Linked DNA regions of Ovis aries. The protein of the gene in region 2 interacts with the protein of the main gene of each other region in a biochemical or structural test. Links are inferred from orthologs where the notes say so. Each region holds a gene or a part of one and is shown on either strand. Other genes may lie near its edges.

The links.
Region 1: the proteins of NOXO1 (region 2) and cytochrome b-245 light chain form a complex in vitro, tested with the Homo sapiens proteins (3 studies listed by IntAct). The link is inferred for Ovis aries from reciprocal best matches to the Homo sapiens genes NOXO1 and CYBA.
Region 3: the proteins of NOXO1 (region 2) and NOXA1 form a complex in vitro, tested with the Homo sapiens proteins (2 studies listed by IntAct). The link is inferred for Ovis aries from reciprocal best matches to the Homo sapiens genes NOXO1 and NOXA1.

The regions. Positions count from the first base shown.
Region 1 is NC_056067.1:13,433,395-13,440,891, reverse strand, and holds the start of cytochrome b-245 light chain, read left to right. Parts: upstream 1-3,196; 5' UTR 3,197-3,247; coding exon 3,248-3,305; intron 3,306-6,571; coding exon 6,572-6,641; intron 6,642-7,073; coding exon 7,074-7,148; intron 7,149-7,369; coding exon 7,370-7,453; intron 7,454-7,497. Other genes in the region: MVD (diphosphomevalonate decarboxylase), read left to right, coding at 61-279, 461-576, 1,324-1,432, 1,863-1,943. UniProt on the Homo sapiens protein: Subunit of NADPH oxidase complexes that is required for the NADPH oxidase activity that generates, in various cell types, superoxide from molecular oxygen utilizing NADPH as an electron donor.
Region 2 is NC_056077.1:2,058,018-2,065,680, reverse strand, and holds NOXO1 (NADPH oxidase organizer 1), read left to right. Parts: upstream 1-2,936; 5' UTR 2,937-3,067; intron 3,068-3,726; 5' UTR 3,727-3,810; intron 3,811-4,994; exon of another isoform or gene 4,995-5,171; 5' UTR 5,172-5,246; coding exon 5,247-5,312; intron 5,313-5,400; coding exon 5,401-5,484; intron 5,485-5,643; coding exon 5,644-5,719; intron 5,720-5,814; coding exon 5,815-5,995; intron 5,996-6,118; coding exon 6,119-6,300; intron 6,301-6,417; coding exon 6,418-6,531; intron 6,532-6,729; coding exon 6,730-6,847; intron 6,848-6,946; coding exon 6,947-7,199; 3' UTR 7,200-7,386; downstream 7,387-7,663. Other genes in the region: GFER (FAD-linked sulfhydryl oxidase ALR), read right to left, coding at 637-799, 1,694-1,890, 2,158-2,409; TBL3 (transducin beta-like protein 3), read right to left, coding at 7,510-7,619. UniProt on the Homo sapiens protein: Constitutively potentiates the superoxide-generating activity of NOX1 and NOX3 and is required for the biogenesis of otoconia/otolith, which are crystalline structures of the inner ear involved in the perception of gravity.
Region 3 is NC_056056.1:551,585-558,258, reverse strand, and holds part of NOXA1 (NADPH oxidase activator 1), read left to right. Parts: intron 1-1,578; coding exon 1,579-1,661; intron 1,662-2,447; coding exon 2,448-2,556; intron 2,557-3,584; coding exon 3,585-3,719; intron 3,720-3,996; coding exon 3,997-4,104; intron 4,105-4,873; coding exon 4,874-4,930; intron 4,931-5,167; coding exon 5,168-5,211; intron 5,212-5,649; coding exon 5,650-5,776; intron 5,777-6,674.

The DNA.
Region 1 (7,497 bases), on a different chromosome or scaffold from region 2:
TGCTCGGAAACCAGGCTCCACGGCTCCACACAGCTCACAGGCTGGCCGTCTGCCTTACAGTTCCGGGCAGAGGCACTGGTGCCGGCGCGCATGGCCGAGATGACCCGCTGCATCAGGGAGCGCGACTTCCAGGCCTTTGGCCAGCTGACCATGAAGGATAGCAACCAGTTCCACGCCACCTGCCTGGACACCTTCCCGCCCATCTCCTACCTCAGTGACACATCCCGGCGCATCATCCAGCTGGTGCACCGCTTCAATGCTCACCACGGGCGGACCAAGGCAGGTGCGGGGCTGGGCGCCCCAGGCGGGCTTCATGGAGCCTGCTTTGCTGGGGGCTGCGTCTCCATCTCACTCTCATTGGTGGCACAGCCCCCATGTTGGAAAAACTCCACTCCCACCTGAGTGGGTGGCCTGTGGGTCCTGGAAGCTGGTCTGAGCCCATCTGACCGCCCGGTTCCAGGTGGCGTACACTTTTGATGCGGGTCCCAACGCCGTGGTCTTCACGCTGGATGACACCGTGGCTGAGTTTGTGGCTGCCGTGAGGCACAGCTTCCCCCCTGAGTCGAACGGAGAAAAGTGAGTTGCAGGTCCCCATCCAGGAGGCTGTGGCGGGCAGCAACCATGAGGACCACAGGCAGTGTCCCCACACGCGTGCCCATGTGGCTGTGGATGCTCGTCCACTTGGCCCAGCCCCAGGGGCACATGCCTGTCTCTGGCGGCTCCTGTGATGATGAGGGCGTCTGGATTTCTCCCTCCCAGCTGTTTAAGGGGCCCTGTTCTCATTGTGGGGACACTTGACCCGCTAGGGATGTGAGAAGCGTCTTTTTATCTGTCACCCTAAGGAGGCAGTGAGGCTTCTGGTAGGTGGAGCTGAGTACTGCTCCCACACTGCGTGGGATTGGCCCCACCATTGAGGACGTAGAGGCTCTAGACTCATTGCCCTGGTTACCACGGGGGTGGTTTGTAGGATTAAGCTTGAACTGAGGCTGTTTCTTAAGCTGTCTCCCCATGGGGCACGGCAGCATGGTGGGCCAGGGCGAGGGGCAGTATTAGAGCCTCGTGGAGGTGTCCTGAAGCCCTCCCCTCAGAGACAGCCAGACCCTGGCTTTCTCACTCCAGGTGTGCCTGTACTCACCATTTGACCACCTCGAGGTGTGCAGCCCAGTGGCATTAAGAACAGGCTGAGCACCCTTGTTCATCAGCCCCAAAGGCCCTGACCCTGCTGGCAGTCACGGTTCCCAGCAGTCCTGCATCTGCCTGCACTGCACACCTCCCACCCCTGCCGTACTTAGACTGCAGTCCAGCCCTGCCTTCTTCCCCCAGGTTTCTGAAGGGGCTGCCCGTGGAGCCCATCCTGCTCTCAGATGAGCTTAAAGCTGCGCTGGGCATGGACCCTGTCCCTGGCAGCATCAGATACATCATCGCCACTCAGGTGAGTCCTGGTTGCACACCACATGCGCCCTGCAGGCTCGCCCCAGGGCATCCACAGGAGGGCCAGTGAAGTAGCTGTGACCCTGCTCCCTGGTTTCACAGCACCTAGTGTTCCCCTCAGTCACTCACAGAATATTTAAGGACTGATGGATGCCTGTGGTGTGCAGGGGTGGGGCTGGACTGTGGTGTACCCTCCAGAGCAGGTCAGGGTCCTATCTGACTCCTAGACCTGTGACCTATGCTCTCCAGGCCTTGGCCTCTGCCGACCGCTCCAGACTTGCTATCCACTCCACGTCTGCCCAGAGGGACTGAGCCTCTGCCTGAGGATTGGGCCCTGGGCCCAGCATCACCAGGGTGTCTGACCTGCCTGCATTTCCTGGAAGGGCAGGTGCACCCTGTCCCTCCCTGATGATAATTTCTTAACCCCACAGGTGGGACCCGGGCCTCAGGTCCTGGACGACCCTGTCGCTCATCTCCTGGGTCCTGACGGTCTGCCAAAGCCAGCTGCCTGACCACCTCTTTGATGGGGCCCGGCCGCCGCTGGGAGAAGGGGCCGCTTCACTGGGATTGGGAGCCGGGTGTGGTGGTCAACAGGCCACGCTTGTTGGGATTTGTGGGTAACTGCCTGCTCTGGGCCAGGCCATGTGCTGTGGCTGAGTTGGGCAATGGATGACGCCTGCAGCCACCCAGATGATCAGGGGAAGCCCCCCCAAGTGCCTCACCTTTCCCTGACCTGCACCCAGCGCTTGCTGAGATGGGGACCTGGACCCTGATCCAAGACCAGGGGACTGAGCCGGCAGGGAGCTGCTGGTGCATCGATCATGAAGGGCCCTCAGGCCCCGGACTCATGGGCACCCCACTGCCACAGGAGGTGATGGCATGTCGGGGTACCCCTCAGAGCTGGAAGCCGGGTCACCGTGCAGGGGACGACCTCAGGACAGCTCCATGAAGTGCTCCCTCAACTCTGAGCCCAGGCCCCTGAGTGGGTGCAGTGTTGTGTCTGCGGGACAGAGGAGCAGTGCCAAGGCCAGAGTAAAGGCAGTTCGAGGACTCACCTGGCCTGGTGTGCTTTCTTCAGCCCTCACCCAGGGGGCTGGGCGGGCATTGTGGGGGGTGGGGCTGGGGCCTCCCCGCCATGCCTGGGATGCTTAGCACAGGCCACAGCCACACAGTGGTGGGTAGACGTGGTCACTAAGGCCGACAGGCTGGGGAAATGGTTCGGGTTTGGCTTTAAGCTCGGTCCACATCCCCCTTCCAAGTGAGTTCCATTCTTCTCCACTGTCCTAACCCAGCTGGGGGAAGAAGGGGGAGGGCTTCTGAGCCCTCTGACCTTGACCCTAAAAGGGAGTCCAAGGAGGGAGGTGACAAAGGACAGGGCCCAGCACTGCTACATTCTGGGTTCTCCCAGAAGCTTCCCATACTCACCCGCCCTACCCCCCCAAGTTAGTCCAGGGTTACCAGTGGGGCCAACACCACCACACCTGCACTAGCCCAGGGCCGGATGCGGCGGGCCTCCCAGGAGTCTCCCCAGGGGCTGGCCTGAAGCCCTGCTTCCCCTCCAGGGGTCCACCGAGGCCGGGCTGGCTGGGCCTGCAGGGGAGGAAGACCTGAGGTCCCGTGGAGCGAGTTGGGGGCAAGGCTCCTGAGACCCCAACCTGCAGCCGGCCTGTCACCTGGGGAAGCGGGTTGGGGCGGAGCCGGCGGCGGGGCGGGGCGGCGCCGGAACTTGGGGAACTTGGGCGGGGCGGGAGGCTTGCTGAGCTCTGGGGCCGCGGGGTCTGAAGAGTCCGAGCCGCGTTCGAGCCGATCTGCCGCCATGGGGCAGATCGAGTGGGCCATGTGGGCCAACGAGCAGGCGCTGGCGTCCGGCCTGAGTGAGTGGGGGGCGCTTTGCACTTGGGGCGGGGGCTGCAGAGGGGCTGCTGAGCCTGGGGGCGGGGCGCCGCGGCAGTGCAGGGGGGCTCTGGGGCTGGGGAAGTAGGGGCCTGGAGACCCCAGGCTGCGAGAGGTAAAGGGGAAAGGGCAGGCTGGAGAAGGGGCGGGAGCAGGGGTCCTGAGGAGCCAAAGACACCCGGCTGGAGCCTGGGGTGGGGCCCCGGGCCCGGAGGCTCCAGTGGGCGACCTACAGCGCCGGCGGGAAGGGGGCTGGGGGCCTCTGTTGGGAGCAGGGGAGGGGGATTCGGGGCCCTCCTGCCCCTGCACCCCGTGCACACCCACACCCCCATCCTCTGCCCTCTTCTCCACCCCCCACACCGTCCCCTCTCCCCTCCCCCGCACACCCTCTTCCCCTCCCCCTCTCCCTCGCCCCCCCCGACACACACAAAAGAGGAAGTTCAGTCTAGGGAAGAAGCGCTTGCCCCCGGGGTTTCCGGAGAACTCACCGCCCAGTAGGGCTGGGAAAACCCAGCATGACCCACCCCTGCCTGGAGTGACCCTCCTGCCCTGGGGTGGAAGCTCCCTCCCCTAAGGCCCCTGGGCTGCGGAGGTGGGCTCTTCCTGCCTCCTGGCCAGGCTTGGTCCATGGAACTGGGTGACCGCTCTGTCTCCCGGGGCGCAGCCCTGAGTCTGCTCAGAAGGACATTGCACAAGGCAGCTGGAGACGACCCATGTGACCCCTCCCACCCAGCTCCCAGGGCCTGCTTCTGGGTAGGAAGGCGGCCGTCCCCCCTGCTTCCCCGTGCTCAACCGCGGTTGCAGACAGTGCTGTACGCACTTGGACTCAACTTCTCAGGAGAGGGTGGGGCTTGAGGCTTGAGGAAGCCCCCCGTGGCCCCGCCCCTCCCAGGAAGGCCCCGCCCCCAGTGAGAGTGGGCGGGCGGGAGGACCTGGGGATAAAGTGATGAGGAGGGTCTCAGCCACCGCGTCTCACCTGGGACCCACCCTGAGGCCCCCACCGCCAACCTGGGGACTGAAGGAAGGAGCCTGCGAAGCTGAGCTGGGGGTGGGGAGGGAGCACTTTAAGGTCACATTTTGGGGGTGGGCAACTTTGGGGTGCCAGGCAGGGCAGCCCCCTTCTGGCTTCTAGATGGCGGAGAACCCAGTGGGTCAGTACGTGGCTTTCCTTGCTTCTGCCCAGAGCTGTCTTCTCCCAGTGCTGTCTACCCCTCCCCATCACCACCGCAATGACTACTGCTTGTCTTCCTCCACAACCTTCTGGCTCTAAATTCCTCCTCTTGCTAACTCCTGACTCAGTACCAACACAGGCCCCACGAGCATCTCAGCCCACCGTCCCTTTATGTTATAGAGAATCGCATCTGATCAGATAACGGTCCCTCCATCTCCCACCACTCTGCCCCTGCCCCTCTGACCTCGGGGGCCCACCACCCTGGTGTTTGCCACAGAGCTGGCTCCCCCCGCTTCACCTCTCTGCCCACATCCACCTGCTCCGAGCCACAGCGCCTACCTCATTCACCATGATCTGAAGTGTCTGTCCACATCGAGAGACCCCAGGCCCCTCTGGGAGCTGAGACTCCTGCTAATGACGCAGGCTCAGGCCAAGGAAATTACATGCCCAGGTCGAGTGGACGAGCCGCTGCCTGAACGCAGGAGCGATGGCTCTTCCCCTCCTCCAGCACAGCAAGTGTGAGCATGACACCAGCAGAAGAAGGCCAGGGTTCAGGGGCTGAAGGGAGGGGTGGGAGGTCAGAGCTTTTACCTCGTGGGACTCTGAGGCCAGACCGGGAAAGGCTGTCTGAACAAGAAACAGATCAAAAGATCGTCCCCTCCAAGGAGTTGTGTTATCTGCCACCACAGCCTGGACGAAGAAAGTCACAAGTAAGACAAAACTGCTGGAAACTCAGGCCTGTGCTACACAAGGGGCAGGGGCTGCCCTCTCCCACTCTATGCCACAGGGACCACCAACGAAGAAGTTCAAGTCATCAGAAAGGAGTGCTGAAGGGTGTGCTCCAGCGAGGGCGAAGCTGGATCCAGAGGGAAGATGGCTATGCCACTGTGAAGACACTGACTGTAAATAATTAATAATTGTGGCTAATTTGGGGTGAGATTAAAGATAAACCTTCTAAAGTCCACATGTAGTTCAGGAAGAGGAATTTTAAAATTACAGTTTGATCAAGTCAGTAGAAGGCAGGAGAAGCAACAAGAAAAGCTGTTCAAGAGGAAACCCAAGTAAGATAACAAAGTAAGTTATCTGTAATCACAGTCAATAAAATGTGTCAAATTCACTATCAGATTGCTTAAAGGGTGAAGAGTTTAACTCTATCAGCTAATTCATAAAAGCCCAACGTTGGAAGCAACTGACATGTCCCAAAGGCAGGAGAATGCATAAATAAATTGTGGGAAACTACCCAATGAGACAAACAGCGAGCCAGAGCTCTGTGCAAACCACCCCAGGAAGGGCCTGGACCAACCTTCTGTCAGCAAAAGAAGAGCCCTCAGAAAACCTGGGATGGGGGAGAATCTTGATATGGGTGGAGGTCACATGGTAGGGGTCACACATGTTAAAAGTCTGTGCACTTTATGTCATAGTGATACCCCAGTAAGTGACTGGAACCCTGAGGATGGGTGGCCGTGATGGAGTGACAGGTGTGAGTGTGCATCACGCCCCTGAGCGGTGCACTGAAGCTGCCGCCGTAGAAGAAAGTCACTGGGGAGGAATGGGGCCGATGCACATGCTCGCGGCAGGTGGGCTGCGATCAGGTGCACACAGGGCTGGAGAGACCAGGCCCACCCAGACCCAGCATCGCACAGAGCACACGAACAGGATCAGCCCACACACCCGAGGCCAGGACCGAGGGTCCACGCAGCTGGTACAAAGTCAACCACCAACAGCGTGGTCCTTAAATGCATTGAGCAAATGCTCAGGGTGCCGTGGCTCACAGGCCTCGGGGGTGTGTCCAGGCTAGAGCCAGGCCCTGCCTCCCTCTCAGCAGCTCCTCAGCCCCCTCCCTGCCTCAAATGCTGCTCTTGGGGAAGGGTCCCAACCCCCATGCCTATAGCCACCCCCATCATCTACCAAGGTCTCCCCCGCCTGGGTCCCCTTCCTGGGCTAACATGGTGGCGGATATGGCAGCTCTGTGGTGGACTGTTGGCCCTCCTTGGGGAGGGGGCCCTGGGGAAGGGGCCAGAGCCCCTGCAGAGATGGGGTATGGCACCTACTAACCTCCTTCTCCTCTGCCCACAGTCCTTATCACCGGGGGCATTGTGGCCACGGCCGGGCAGTTCACCCAGTGGTACCTGGGCGCCTACTCCATGTATCCTCTTGCTGCAGACCCAGGTTGGGGTCGGGGCCAGAGAGGCTGCTGCCCCTTGAAGGCAGGAGGGGCTCCGAGCAGGGAGGTGACAGAGCCTGGGGGCCTCCCTGGCAAGGGAGGGAGGTGTCCGTGGCACCTGAGGGCTGACACTGAGGCCCGAGAATGCTCGGGGTCCCTCCGTATTCCCTTCTATCAGTCACCCTCCCCAGCTGGCCTGGCCTGCCCACCAGTGGACCGAGCCCCCCTTGTCCCAGCCAGTCCAGCTGTTACAAGCCCTCCAGACGCCAAGGCAGGCATGGGGGAGGGAGGCTGCCTTGTTGGAATCCTGTGGACTTCAGGCAGTGGCCACACCTCTCTGTTCTCTCATCAAAAGAGCCGACTCCCTGGGGCCTCTCAGGCTTGATCTGGGCTGTTCCTTAACCTGCGCTTCAGAGCAGCGGGTGTATTGGTCTGCCTGCTGGAGTACCCTCGAGGGAAGAGGACCAAGGGCTCCACCATGGAGAGGTGGTGAGTTTCCTACCCTGTTCCGGGAACCACCCCCCACCCCCACCAGCTGTCACTATGAGGAGCCTGTCACTCCTGTCTGTCCGAGGCTCCAGCACCAGCCCACTCAGGGTCTGCCCTGCCACTGAGCCTGAGACCCCCTCCCCTCCCCGGGACGAAGAACCGTGTGATCTGAGAGGCTGGGGCGGGTGGAGGGTGACATGGCCTGTCTCCCCCCCGCCCAGTGGACAGAAGTATCTGACCAGAGTGGTGAAGCTGTTTGGGCCCCTCACCAGGAACTACTACATCCGGGCCTTCCTGCACCTCGGGTGAGCACGCGCCCACTTGGGACCCCTCAACGCCACCGGCAGAG
Region 2 (7,663 bases):
TGGCCTTGGAAAGGCCCCCTTCTCCTGGGGAGCCAGAACCCAGATAAGGAAGCAGCAGGCCTGTCCGCTGTTGCAAGTCCCAGCACAAAATACGCTGAAGCCAGGGCTTCGGTCATTTCTCCAGCATTTTATTTTGGTCTTGAGTTCCACGGAACCTGTAAGGCCAGAGGCCGGATTGGAGGTGAGCAGCAGAGTTCGGCCCATAAGCCTCTTTCCTGATGTGCAAACAGCGCACAGCCTCCGGGGCTACAGTCACTATCCCATGCTGTCCCTCACTACAAGGTGGGGAGACACTGGCCAGGCCTGAGGGGCGAGATGGTGGTGCCCAGCCAGGCCTGTGGGCTTCCTGTGTGGAGAAGGTGGCAGGGTGGGTGAGCAGGAGGCCAAATCCTGAAGGGAAGGGACGTCCTGGGCTGCCCCTGCCTCCCGTCGATAGCCTCACAGGCCCACAGTGAGGAGGCCACCACTGAGGTGCCTGCATCGGGCTCCTCCACTTCTCCTCTGAACCGGAGAGGGAGAGGGTTCCCAGGGCAGGGTCTGGGGACCACCCAACGGAGACACCACCGGCTCTGTGTGTGATGGCACTTTAATGAGCCCCGCCCCCTCTGGCCGGGCCTCCCCAGGCTCAGCCGCTGGCTAGTCACAGGAGCCATCCTTCCAGCCGTCGCGCCAGCGCTCGTCCACCAGTGAGCAGTCGAAGTCTGGCTTGCCCAGCTTCCGGTTCACCTCGTTGTGCAGACGGCAGAGCCACTGGGTGAAGCTCACCCGAGTGCGCGTGTCTGGCTGGTCCCTGTATATCCTGCGTGAGGGGGAGCACGTGCAGGAGGGGGCAGGCTGTGCTCCCAGCATGCCCGCCCCACCATCTTCCTGGCTTGCCCAATCCAGGGAAGAGAGCTGGGGCCTAGATTTAGGGGTGCCCTCATGCTCTGAGGAATTCCCAGAAGGGAGCTGACCCTCCAGCCTCAAGTCCCAGTTGACTCTTAGGCCTGCTCCAACCCCTACCTAGGGCACGTGGCAAACCCTGACAAGAGCCCCGGGCAAGACATTAAGGCACAAGGTCTCCACTTTACAGCCTCATAACAATCAGGAGGCCTCACCCTAGCGTCCCTGGCCCCAGGCAGCGTGTGGAGGGGCAGGGCTGGAATAAAGGCCTACCTGAAAACCAGGTCTGCTTCTTCACACCTTTGGCCCTACCACACCACCTCAGCAAGAGACCTCGTATAAATAAATGCCCAGGCTCCAAACAGCAAGGGCTGCCCTTTTTACCCCACAGCCAGCCCAGAAATGCTTATGGCTGCCAAACAACAGTTCTTGGGCTCCCCAAAAAGGTGGCTCTTGGAAGCAAAAGCAGTGAGTTCCCAAGGCCTTGAAACTGAAGGTCCTGCTCCAGAAGCTAGACAGAGTGGAGTCCCTGGAAACCTGCCAGAGTCTTCATCAGTGCAAAGCAAGGGATCTCATGAGAGTAGCCCTCCCGGGGAGGGAACTCCGTGGTTGCAGAAAGCAGCAGCCCCCAGCAGCAGCCCCAGGCCTGGCCTTTAAGGAGAAAGGCGATGGCTCCAGAATCCCTCCGCTGTTGGTGGTCCCTGCTCTAGACAACCCGCTGCCACGACGGCCTCTACTTCTCTAGGCTCCCCTTTATGGCATCTGCCAGGGGCCCCAGACCCAGGCTGCACACTCTGCAGACACGACTCACCTTTTCCTTATGTCTTCGGCACACTCTTCACACGGGTAAAACTTGGAAAATAAATGTATGAACTGGGCCATATCCTGCTGTTGCTCTGGGGTGGGCAGGTCGGGGTAGTAGGCAGCCAGGGTATGGAGGACAGCCCAGCTGTTGCGGCCCAGTTCCTCGCGATCCTGAGGGCAATCCTCCCTAAACTTGCTGTCCCGCTGTGGAAGGAGGCCGACCAAGGGTCAGTTCGGTTTTCCCCGACCAGAAACCTACAAAGTTCCCTATTTTTTTTTTTTCCGCCCCAGCCGGAGACCCACTGACCGGAGAAAAAGTCCTGGGGCCGATCCAGCCCACACATGGCCAAGAGCCAAAAGGCTGGGCCTACCTTGGGGGCACGGTTAGGAAGCGCCGACCCCCGGGGAGGGGGCGGGGAGCCTGTCCAGGGTGCCCGAGGACAAGGTGTGGGGGCCCCCCTACGCCTGCACCTTCTGCTGCGTGCGCATCCACGACTTGAAGTCCACGCAGGCCCGGCAGGGCCACCGCGGGGAGGCGAGCTCGGAGGCCGGAGGGTCGGACGCCGGCCCCGCGGATGGCGCCCGGGCCGAAGCAGCGGCTTTTCTCCCACCCGCGCCGCGGCCGCGCGCGTCCGTCACCAGGTCGTCCGTCACCTCGGAGCGCGCGCCGCCAGGAAGGAAGATCCCAGTGCCGAAGCGGCCGCGCTCGCTGGGCGCCGCCATGCCGCCCGCGCAGTGCCTGCCGGGCCAGCGCAGCCGCCACGACCGCAACCAGGCGGGCTCCAGGCCAGCGCGCGCGCCGCCGCCGCCAGAGCGCGACCGCAGAAGCCGGGCGCGCGCGCCGCGGACGCGGAGCTGGGCCCGGGGGCGGGGCCCGGTGCGGGGGCGCGGCTGGCGGCCCGGGTCCGCGCCCCGGGAGATGCAGGAGTGCGAACTGGGGACGCGCCGGAGGCCCGAGCCGCGGTTTGCGCGGCGCCGGAGCGCCGAGCCTTAGCCTTGCGCCTGGGCCTCGTTCCACCGCCCGAGCCGGTCTTGTGTCGGCCGTAGCACAGCTCCCGCTTCCTCGAGTATGTCACTGTGTTGTGGATGACGACCCATGGGAGCGACGCGGCTTCGGGCTGCGGCCTTCTGGACCTCCGTGTTGAGGCCCGCGACGGCCTCATCGCTCCGCTCCGACCTTCTCGCGTGCCTGCGGCTTGGCTCTGTGCCCTCCGCTGGGGGCGCGCCCGGGACCGGTGCTTGGCGCCTGGGCAATGCGGGGCGGGGCTGTGAGCGCACAAAGGGCGGTGCAGCTGAAGGTTCGGCGAGTCCGCCTAGGCGACCGGCGCCATCGCCACGGGTGCCCGCCTAGGCTGGGCGGGTCGAGCCTGCAAAGGAGGAGGTGCGTCTCTGGACTCCGGGGAGCACTGAGCAGCCCCTCTCCTCTCTGCTCAGCCCCACAGCCTACCTGAAGGGGTTAAACCCAGGTGGGGCGTGGTCTCAGGGATACCACTGCTTCCATATGTACTTTAATTCCACATGTACATTAATATGCACATTAATTGATTCTGCAAATACCTGTGTAGTGCCTGATCTGTCTTTAGCACTGCTCTAGGCTCTGGACAGGGCCAGGAGCAAGATTCATTCCTCCCTGACCTCCTCAGTCTAGTGGTCGAGACGGAAAAAACAAGAGTCACACTAATAAGTGTTTAGATACAAGCTGTGATGGAGGCTATGAACAGGGTGTGTTAAATCTAGGAGGCCTCCTTGAGGAGTTGACCTTTAGGCAGAGAGGCCTGAAGAATGAGAAATCAGCTGAGGAGGGTTGTCAGAGCCAACGCAGGAGGGAGGAGGAGCTTGACTTCCTGCATGGGCAGAAAGGCCAGTGTGGGACAGGACCTGGGAAGGGTGGTGTGAGCAGAGGTCCTGAGGTGGCCAGGAGCCCACTGAGGACACCATCAACTGACCCAGGAGCTGGGGATGTGTGCTGAGGACCCTGGGACAGTGCTGGGAAGTTTGGGGGAGGGTACCCTGGCCTGATCCCATTTCGGTTTTGCATAGATTCTTCTGGAGAGTGGATTTCACGACAGCAAGTGAGGACCACAGGCTTTGAGGGGGGAGCATGGAGCTGTTGTAGTGGTCCAGGTGAGAGGTGAGGGAGGGAATGTGGAGAGTGTGGAGAGCATCTCAGTTGGGGGGGGTGGGGAACATGGGTCAGCCATGCAGGGAGGGGCTGCAGCGTCCTTCTAGGTCCCTGGCTGTGAGCACACTGGCCCTTCTCCAACTTCTCTGTCTTCCAAGGGAGCAGGAGCCGTCCCACTCTGTACCCTACCAGGCCAGCGGCCCCCACTGAGATTGCCAAGAGTGTGACAGCTGGACTGAAGGCACTTTGTAAAAATTAGGCCTGTGTCCACAGGTGTTCATTGCCTGGGCCAAGACCCGGGGAGGTTTGAAGGCTTCAGAGAGCGCCTCTGGCTGGACAGATGCACAAAGGCCTTTTGTCAGGCCGGGGTGGCTTCCTGACCCCTCCCTCCCTCCAGGGCTTGGGTGGAGGAGCTGGGACTGAGGCCCACCTGCCAGAGTGTGACTGAAGGAGGAGGGGAAGGGCTGTCAGAGTGCCGCCAGGCTGGCCGCCCCTCCCAGCTCTCAGAGGTGTGGGCGGGGGTAAGGAAGAACCCCTGTGCGCCAGGTTTGGATGGGCTCTCGGCTCCCCTGTAAGGCGGTGGTCCCGAGATGTGGCCCCCGGGCGCAACGTCTGGGGATTCTAGGGCCTTCCCTTCAGCGCCCCAGCCAGTTGGGGGAGGGTCACTCCTGACCTCAGAGGTTGTGTCTGCAGCGCACTGATAAATCATGAATTCAGAGGTGATTCTCAGAACAGTCCTAGCCATTCCCAATTCCACCTCACTATTCCCAATGCTAGTGACTACAGATGGACCCTCTTCATCCTGCTGCAAGCCCCTCCACCACAGCAGGACCTGTGGGGTGGGCCTGTGAGGTCTGCCTCTCCCCAGCAGATGAAGAAACCCTGACAATATATGTTTAACACAAACTTCCTCCTCTGCCATTTGGGGACATTAAGAGACCTTTCCTCCAATGTGAGGATTAAGCCAAACAAAGCACTTAAGAGCCTTTAATATTTTCCTGGTGACGACTACAGTCAGCTCAGGGACAGAGCCAGGGGCACACCAGGCCACTGGGCGGCTCTGCCCAGCCTGGGCACCAGCAGGGCGTGGCGAGCCGGGAGGGGTGGCCTGGCGGTGCTCTAATGGCCCTTCCTTCCCCTCCTCCCCCCACGCTCACACTCTGGCAGGAACCGCCCCCCCACCGTCACTGCTTCCCCTCCTACCCGGGGAGCCCCATGCCCCTGCCTCCCCAGGTGAGGGGTGCGGCAAGGAAGCGGGGAAGGCCCCAGTCAAGGGCAGGGTGGTGCAGCCAGGACTGGGGCACTGCTGGGGAATTCCAGCCTTCCGGGTGCCCAAGGCCTTCCCTCCTACCCCCATGGGCAGGGAGGTAGTGGGACCCGGGGTCACGCCCAGCAGACTCCCAGAAGTCCCTCACGGAGATCTGGGGAGGTCACCAGGATGGCGGGAGCCCGGCACCCGGTGTGTGTGAGTGGGGCAGCTCTGGTGCAGACAGACAGGCTCCAGGTAGGAGCCCATGGGACCCCTGCCAGCCCCAGAGGAGGTGGGGGAGCTCCTGGCCCAGCGCCTCCAAGACGCCCCCAACCTCCCCCAGCAGGCGTTCGCCTTCTCCGTGTGCTGGTCCGATGGCAGCGACAGCTTCGTGCGCAGAAGCTGGGGGGACTTCAGGAGACTCCACGTGAGTCGGCCACCCGACTTCCCCAGCAGCCTGACCCACGGGAGACCACCCACACCCTGCCCTTGTGCCCACTCAGGCTTTCAGCCAAGGGACCCCTGCCTGCCCTCCCAGGGGAACCTAGTGGGCCCTCGGAGACCAATGATGCCTCTTCTCGCTCAGAAAACCCTCAAGGAGACCTTCCCGGTGGAGGCAGGCCTGCTGCGGAGATCTGATCGCGTTCTCCCCAAGCTCCCAGGTCAGGCCAGCAGGGATCCAGGAGGGTGGGGGCGGCAGCAGTGGGATGTGAGGAGCCTGGGCGGGGCTCCCACAGCTGCCCCGTCCTGCCCGCAGCTGATGCACCCTGGCTGGTGCTCCGAGGCCGCACCGGCCGAGGCCTGGCCCGCCTGCAGCTGCTGGAGGCCTACCTAAGGGCGCTGCTGGTGGCCGGGGAGCGTGTGTCCCACAGCCCGGTGCTCACTGGCTTCTTCGAGCCACAACCTCTGGACTTGGAGCCTATGCTGCCACCCGGCAGGTGCCTGCCCCGAGGACGGGGGAGGAGTGGTGGGGAAGAGCCCACAAGTGGGAAGGCTTGGAGGCTGGACGGGCCTGTGGGAGACACCTGACACCTCTCCCCTGCACCCTGGGCCCTCACCAGCCTGGTGATCCTGCCCAACCCGCAAGAGCCCCCGCCAGGCCCCCCAGGCAGCCCTGCCATCCGCACCCTGGAGGCCCAGAGCCTGCGCTGCCTGCAGCCCTTCAGCACGCAGGACACTCGGGGCCAGCCCTTCCGCGCTCAGGCCCAGGAGGCCCTGGATGTGCTGCTACGACACCCCTCAGGTGGGCTGATGCCCCGCAGGTGGGCTGGTGGCAGTCAGAGGGACAGGCCCTTCAGCCCCTGGGATCCCAGCGGGCTGCAGGAACTGAAGACCCCACCCGTCCCCCTCTCGGGCACAGGCTGGTGGCTAGTGGCAAACGAGGACCAGCAGACGGCATGGTTTCCTGCTCCCTACCTGGAGGAGGCGGCCCCACACCAGGGACAGGATGGGGGACAGCCCCTGGGGATAAGCGGTGAGACTGACCCTCCTCCCCACACCCCCGCCGTCATGGGGCAGTGTCCAGCACGCGCTGGGGGAGAGGCGCCACGGGATGGCGGGGGCGACGGTGGCCCTGCAGTGTCTGCTTGGTCCCACTGGGCTTTAGAAGGGGTCTCTGGTATTGAGAGAAACCTCTGAAGCCCCATGGTGACCACCCAGCGTCTACCCCCAGGGCCCCAGTTCTGTGCTGTCTGCGCCTATGAGAGCAGCCGGGCTGATGAGCTGTCCGTGCCCGCAGGGGCACGCGTGCATGTGCTGGAAGCCTCTGACCGAGGCTGGTGGCTGTGCAGGTGTGTGGGCTGGGGCTCCGGCAGCCGGTCTGGTGCGGCGCGGCGGGGCGGGGTGGGGTGGGGCGGGGCCCAGAGCCAACCAAACTCTTCGTCCTACAGGTTCCGAGGCTGCACCGGTCTTCTCCCAGCTGTGACACTGCAGCATGATGGGCTGGGCACCCTCCTCAGCGGGCCGTGGCTCCACCATGGGGCTGATGGTGCAGAGGGCGGGGAGGGCAAGGCCCATGGCTCCCCCAGGTCCCCCCAGGCCGTGATGCTTCCGCCTCCTGTGCCTGCTCGGCCGCCTCTGAGTGCCATTCAGAGCCGCTGCTGCACCATCACCCGTAAGGCACTACGGCAGGGAGCCCCCTGAGAGAGTGTGGCTTATCGTGGAGGGCGGTGCTGTGCACCCCAGACCCCAGGGATCACCCCAGGCTCCAGAGCCCAGGGATGACGGCTAACAGCCACCTCAGCCTCAGGGCCATGGGAGGAGCGGTGGAGGTGGGGCTTGCTGGGCCGCATGCCCCTGGTGTGCCCTGAGTAAAGCTCTCCTGACTGACCGTGCCGTGTCTGTGTTGAAGGGCAGGTCTGGGGGTGGGCCACCTGTGGCCCAGGACCAGGGGGTGAGATGAAGTCAAGACAGACACAAGGAGCCAAGACAGCAGAGTCCGTGTTTCTGTGTTTCAGAGGGCCGCGGGGGCCGCGGGGAGGGTGGGCAGCTTCATGTTGTGCCATAGGAAGTCCAGGAAGGTGGCTGCCTGCAGCGTCCGGCTGAGCCGCTGGAAGTGCCGCTCTGGGGGAGGATCGCAGGCTGTCAGGGGTGGCCGAGTGTGGCAG
Region 3 (6,674 bases), on a different chromosome or scaffold from region 2:
GGATGGGGTCGCAAGGCTCCAGCACAGCCTCCACTTGTGGGGGCCGTTTGCCCTGCTCTGCGGTCCTGTGGAAAGGCCAAGTGAGCCCTGGCTCAGGTGCTCTTGATGGAGGTGCTAAGGTGCCTACAGAGGCTCGAGGCTGGATGGGGCCGGAGGGTTGCCACGGGTGCCCGTGGCGATGGCCAGGAGACAGACTCTGGTTGGGGGCCTAAACCCCAGATCCGTGTGCTCACCTGTCCCCCACCCACTCCCCAAAGCAGAACCAAGAGCCAGATGTATGCACGGGCACACACACACACCTGCCTCTGCTGAGGGCCTGGCAGGGCCATCCCTGCCCTTCAAGCCTCCAGGTTCATCACAGTGGTGCACATCCCATGGGTGATGACAAAAAGCAGTAGCACCCTGCTCACTGCTTGGGTCCCCAAGGGCCCCCAGAAAGAGCCAGGTTCCCGCGTTGTCCAGGCCAACGGCGACGTCAACCGAAAACACGTCCAAGGGGCATGCCCTGTTGTTCCTCACATATGTGTTCGAATCTACAGTTATCTCAGCAGCAATGTCAGTGTTAAAATGTTATCCAGCAATGGGGATGTCACCCCTGGACACCACGGGGTCAGTGGAATGATGCCAGTCCAGTCACTACCTCCCCTAAACCTCGATTTAATCAGAAAGAGGGGACAGAGGTTCCAGGCCAAGGGTGTGCACGTTAAATTCTCCTCCACCCTAATCGGAGATGGAGTAGCAGAGGCATGTTTGTTGGAAAAATTTAAAAAGCAAATGGAACGGCTACAATCAATAAAGCTGACTTGGACAGGGTGAGGGGAGCTGGGGCTCCGTCTCTGGCAGGAGCCCCCCAAAAGCTCCTATCTGGCCACTCTATGTGGCAGGATAAAAGGGTTTCCCTTGTGCTGAGCGGCCACATCAGTGCCCGAGTGCTGACCCTCAGCCTCGGTCAGACTCAGCTCGACAAGCCCGCGCTCGGCCAGGTTTGTTAGAGCGGGGCCGTGACACCCTCCAGTTGCCTGTGTTTAACTTGGTGGCTGCTGGGTGCACTCCTTTTGCTTGCGTCTGCCTGATGGCTGCTGTCCTTAGGAACAGACGGCATCATTTCTGAGTTCAGTTTCAGGAAGAGCTGGGCTTCACACGCACATTAAGGCTTTCGTGCTGTTCTTCCTTCTGACTCTAATAGATGAAACGTGTGTCTTTTTGTGTGAACCACCAAAGCTAGGGCTTGAAGGAGACAACAGTCTTAACATAACTCCCTCCGTGGAGGTAACTATTATCAACGTGCTGGAGCGTTTCCTCCTCCTCGTGGTTAACAAGCTGGTCTGTGCCGCCATCTAACTACCCCCGAGCAGCCATCAGAAAACACCTGGGGAGCCCAGGCAGGTTTGCGTTGAAGCCGTGACGCCTGCGCCCCTTGGACCCAGAGGCCCCTGGGCAGGCGAGGGAGGCTTTCTCTTACAGGTGACGGTCATGTGGCCGACGGGCTTCCTTGACCCACTGCTGGGCATCCCCATCTGTGACACGGTGGTGACGGGGCTACAGGCCTGAGCAGTTCACAGACATTTCTGTCCGCAGGCATTTGACCGGGCGGTGACTAAGGACGCCTGCTTGGCTGTTGGCTTCCTCCAGCGCGGAGTGGCCAACTTCCAGCTGGAGAGGTGAACACAGACGTGCCCTCTTCCTTCTCTGACGGCCCTTCGTCTCTGCAGAGTCCTGCCTGTGCTCCTCTCTGCCCACGGTCACCTCCTCTGGCCAGCTCTCCCCGGGCTCACGTGGGGGCGTGTCTCTCTGTCCCCACGCCGGGCTGCACAGTGACCCTGGGCTCTGTTTGGAAGAGGGTCACAGACCGCTTCTGCTGGCTCCCCTCCTCCGTTCCTACCCCCTGGACTGCAGGGACGGCATGATTCTGCCCATTCTGCCTTCGGGAAACCCAGGGCAAGGCTGGAGGAATGGTGCATCCCAGGACTGGGCGGGGTTGGCGGGGGGTCCTCTGCCCACGCGGCTCTCTGTGCCAGGCCCTTCCCAGAGAAGGAATCAGAGCTGCAGGGCAGGCCCGGCGCCCACAGAAGGCGCTACACAGGGTGGGCGGGCTCTGGGGTCACCTCCTTCTCATCAGCCCGGAAGCCTGCCCCGGGGCAATGAGGATCCTGGTTGGGGTTGGGGCATCCAGCCGGGGTCGGGGTGGGGAGGCCTGTGGGACGGAGACCCCGGAAGCAGGCAGGGCACTCTGCACCCCGAGGTTCAGGAGAGGGCCTGCGGTGCAGGTGGAGGAGCCCACATGCTGCACAGCCCGTCTGTGTGGACCCCGTGTGCTGAGGCCTGCCGACCGCCGCTGCCCCCGTGCTGCAGGAGGGGCTGGGGCGGGGGCCGGGTCCGGGCCAAGGTGGAGCCCTTGCCCTGGGGCCGCCCAGGGCCCCCACACCAGGCTCCCCTACTGCCCACAGGTTCCAGGAGGCCCTGTCCGACTTCCAGCGCACCCTGGCCCAGCTGAGGGATAACACCGCTATTGACTACACCCAGCTGGGCCTGCGGTTCAAGCTGCAAGCCTGGGAGGTGAGTGTGCGGGGAGCGGGCCACCAGGAGGCCGTGTGGCTGGGCCCTGGGGGCTGTCTGTGGGCGGGCAGCCCGGGGGGTCCTTCCAGGGCTGGCCCCACCCTCTGGGCCCTGTCATCTTGTCACTGTGCAGGTGGGCCCGAGTTAAGTGAGGTGCTCCCTCTGGCCAGAGGGCCCCCAAAATCCCAGCAGGAGAGGGCAGTGTTGGAGGTCAGCGAGAGGTGGCGGGGTGGGCAGGGCGGGAGCTGGCCTGGCAGTGGGCCCTGGCGTCCCTGCCCTGGGCTTGGTGCTTGGCTCAATTCCTGGCCTCCTGGGAAGTAGCCGGCACTGAGAGAAAGGCTTGGGAGGTTCCCCCACCGCTCCCAGAAACAGGCCGCCTTGTAGCCTCTGGGAGCTGCAGTGTCTGGTCGGTCAGCCATGGGGGGAGTCCCACCAGGGTGGGCCAGGCCCCAGCCCTGGCCTGTAGGGCGGGGCGTGGGCTTGGCATCCGTGGCCCGGGCAGACCCGTGGCAGCGGGCCGAGGAGCGCACAGTCCCTGCAGAGCGTGGGGACGGGGCTGTCCCGGGCGGCGCTCCGTCCTCCCGGCAGCACTGGACGACTTGACTGCTATCCCCCAGCTCGGGCGGGAAGGGGCGGACAAGAGGCGCCCCTCAGATAGTGCCCCAGACTCTTGGGGGTTCAGGGAACAGGGCAGCACGGGCAGGAGGGGGTCAGGCCAAACTCAGGACAGGCGTGAAGGCTGAGCGGATGTTTCCGAAGACGGGAGACGGCCTGACGTTCAGAGCAGAGGAGAAGCAGTGAGGGCTGGTTGGCTCTGGCTGGGGGGTCCAGAGAGAAACCAGCCAGGCAGAGCCCACCCTGGGGCGGGAGCCAGGGGGCACCTGGAAGAGCCCCGGGCCACTGTGTCTGGGCAGCTCAGGGGCTGGACCAGTGCAGGGCCAGGTGCGGGGCCAGATGGTGGCCCTGCGGGGGAGGGGAACGCTGGACCTGCCATCACCTCGCCCCCCACCCGCACCCCCTGCCCTCAGGTGCTGTTCAATGTGGCTGCAGTGCAGAGCCAGCTGGGGCTCTGGACAGAGGCCGCCTGCAGCCTGGGGGACGCCATCTCCAAGGGGCCGGAAGGGGTCCGCAACGACCTGGACATCGCCCTGGGCCAAGTGCAGGTAAGGGACAGGCGAGGGGGGCAGGCGAGGGGAGCCAGGCTCCTGAGCTGACTCGGGGGGTCTTGCCAGGCCCACAGCCTGCAGTTTTGGGGCTCACATCCATCCAGCCCCCCAAGACTAACTATATGAGATAAAGAAAAGTCTGGAGGTGGGGGGCCTGTGTGCCCTGCGGGGGATGGGACTCCCACAGGCCGTGAGAGTTGGGGAGTGGGCCGTCCTGCTCTGAGGCTCCGGGCGGCTACCAGCGCTCAGGGCTCCCCTATCCGGCCCCCTCCAGAAACAGGTCCCCCTGCAGCCTCGGCAGGTCCCCAGGGGTGAGGTCTTCCGGCCCCATAGGCGGCACGTGGAGCACCTGGAGCCTGTGGATTTCCTGGGCAAGGCCAAGGTAAAAGGAGGCGGCTTCTCTCTGCTTGGGCCCAGGCCTTGGGGCCAGCGGCTCCAGCAGGCCGCAGGGCGGGCGGCCAGGCCCTGTTGAGCTCACATTGTCCGGAGCACTGGGGCCATCGAGGCCTTGGGGTGAGAGGGGGCACAAGGCTCCCGGGGCAGCAGTGCTCACGGGTAAGTCCTGGGACCTGGAGGCGGAGCTACTGAAAGCCGTTGCGCACCCCAGCCGGCCCAGCCCTGCCTGCCTCAGCCGCAGCCTCGCTCTCCTGGCTTCAACCTCGCCCTGCACTTCGGCCTCAGGGGGCAGGAACCTGGAGGAACAGGGAGGTCTGGCCTGGCCACCTCTGCCCAGCCCGGGGTCCGGGCAAGTGGCACCAGCAAAATCGCCGGCTGATGGGATGCAGCTTGCCCCAGGCTGGGCTGGTGTGTGGGGAAAGAGGGCTCCCTGTGCACAAAGGGAGGCTCACTCTGGTCTCTAGCTGTGGCCCGGGCCCTTGACGCCCCAGTCACCCAGGGCCAGGCACTGGGTGTCTTAGCTGGAGGGCTGCCTGGAGGAGGTGCTTCTGAGCTGCATTAATCCACCCACTCGGAGCCCTTGCCGCAGGATGTGGCTGTTGCTACGAAATAAGAACCTTCTAAAAGCAGTACTGAAAATAAGTCACACAGATAAGCCAGGCTCCGGCAGGCCCACCAGGCAGGCGGGGACTCGGGGGTGCAGGTGGGCAGCAGGCCGGGCACCGCTGAGGCGCCGCCCCTGCTGCTGCTCACAGGTGCTGGCCTCCGCCCTCCCCGCCGGCTCACACGGGGTCGCCCCGCCACAGCCACAGGTAGGCGAGCCGCCTCCCGCCCCCCGTGTCTCCTCTGGCGTTGGCAGGTCCAGGCCTCCTGGATTCTTTACCCTTAGGGGTGCCTGAACTCTCCCCGGGGCTCCCCATGTCCCTCCGATCTAAACTTAGGGGGTAGCCCATCCTGGTGAGAGCCGGTGAAAATCCTGCAGCCTTGCCCCCTGGCCCCTGGGGCTCCTGGGGGTCTGCGTCCTGAGCAGGAGCTGTCTGTGCCCACAGGTTCTGGACGTGCGTGGTGAAGCCAGGCCCAGGGCTGCTGCACGGTAGGAAGGGGTTGGCCTCCACTTCTCCTATCAGCAGGGGCCCTGCGAGGCCTGCCTCCTGGCCTGATGCTGGAGCTCCTGGGCAGACCCGCTGCGGCCACTCAGGGCCAGGGACCAGGGGCCAGTGTGGCCTGTCCCCTTTCCAGACTGTCCAGGGTCCCAGTGTGGTGGGGGGCATCCCACCTCAGTCAGCCCTCCCATCTGTCCTGAGCGCATCCTGCCCCCAGGGGGAGAGCCCACCCCCGCTCAGGCCGGGGGGGCACCAGAGGCACCGGTGGGGTGCAGCTGGCCACAGGCTGCAGGAAAAGCCATTAGACGCAGCCTTGCAGGCGGCCCTCTGAGTGGGGTGCTCCTCTCCAGCTCGGGGCTCTGCAGGCCCACCCCCCACGAGGCCTTGCCCGTGGGGGAGGCCTGGGAACGAGGGCCCCTCCCCTCCAGGGCCCGTGACACTGCCCCCGGCAGAGCTGACACCCCCTGCAGCCCCAGGACACCCGCTGACGTGGAGCTGGAGGTCAGCTCCGGCCAGGCTGGGCAGCACGACCACGGCACGCTGGTTACCCACAAGGTGGGTGAGCCCCGGCGGGGCAGGCAGAGGCCACAGCATTTGCAAGACCCCCGCCCCAGGCTGGGCTTGGGGATCAGCCCGAGCGGGGCATCTCAGGCCGGGCAGCTTGCCTCATCACCTGCTGGGGACAGGGCTCCGGCTTCCTTAGGCAGGCCAGGGGCCGGGTGGGAGCCAGCCGCAGCGACCAGATGCCAGGAGTCAGGGACACACGGACGTTCATAGGTGCCCCGCGGGGAGCTGGGGGTGCTCCCCACCCTGGACCCGGGAGGGGCTGCAGTGTGTGCCTCAGAGCCGTGAGGCTTCCGCCCCTCAGCTGGGGCGCCCGGCCTTCCTTGCTGGACGCGGGACTCTCCGAGATGCCCCAGGGGCTGCGTGCAGCTGAGGAGGGGTTGGCTCAGGCTTCTCAGGGCAGGTGTGCTGGGCAGGTGTGCCTTGAGGGGTGGCATGCCAGGGGCCGTGAGGCCGCTGTGAGGAAGTTAGAGTTAACCACAGAGAAAGCAGCCTCGCACATTCACGTTATCAAGGGGCTCGGGTGAGAACGAGATGGTCCTTCCCCCTCCTCATCCACTGAGGCCCGGCTCACTCGCTGGGCTGATCAGTGCTCTTGAAAGCCGTCGGTTCATCACTGCTGTGCTGAGCGCTAGGCCTTCCAGACGGAACGGCAGCAGCTCCCTGACTGCTTCCAGCAGCCGGTAAATCCTAATGCTTCATGTGCAAACAGCCCACTTAACCCATCCTGAAGTCGGGGTCTCCATCCGTGGGTCAGGCGGCCTGGGCTGGGGGCTCTGTGTCGTCCCGCCCGCAGCATGCCCAAGGCTTGCGGCCCTGACGCAGAGTGATGTCCAGCGGGTCCCTGGCTTCAGCCCCAGCCTCCCGGGCTGGTCTCAGCTGCAGCTGC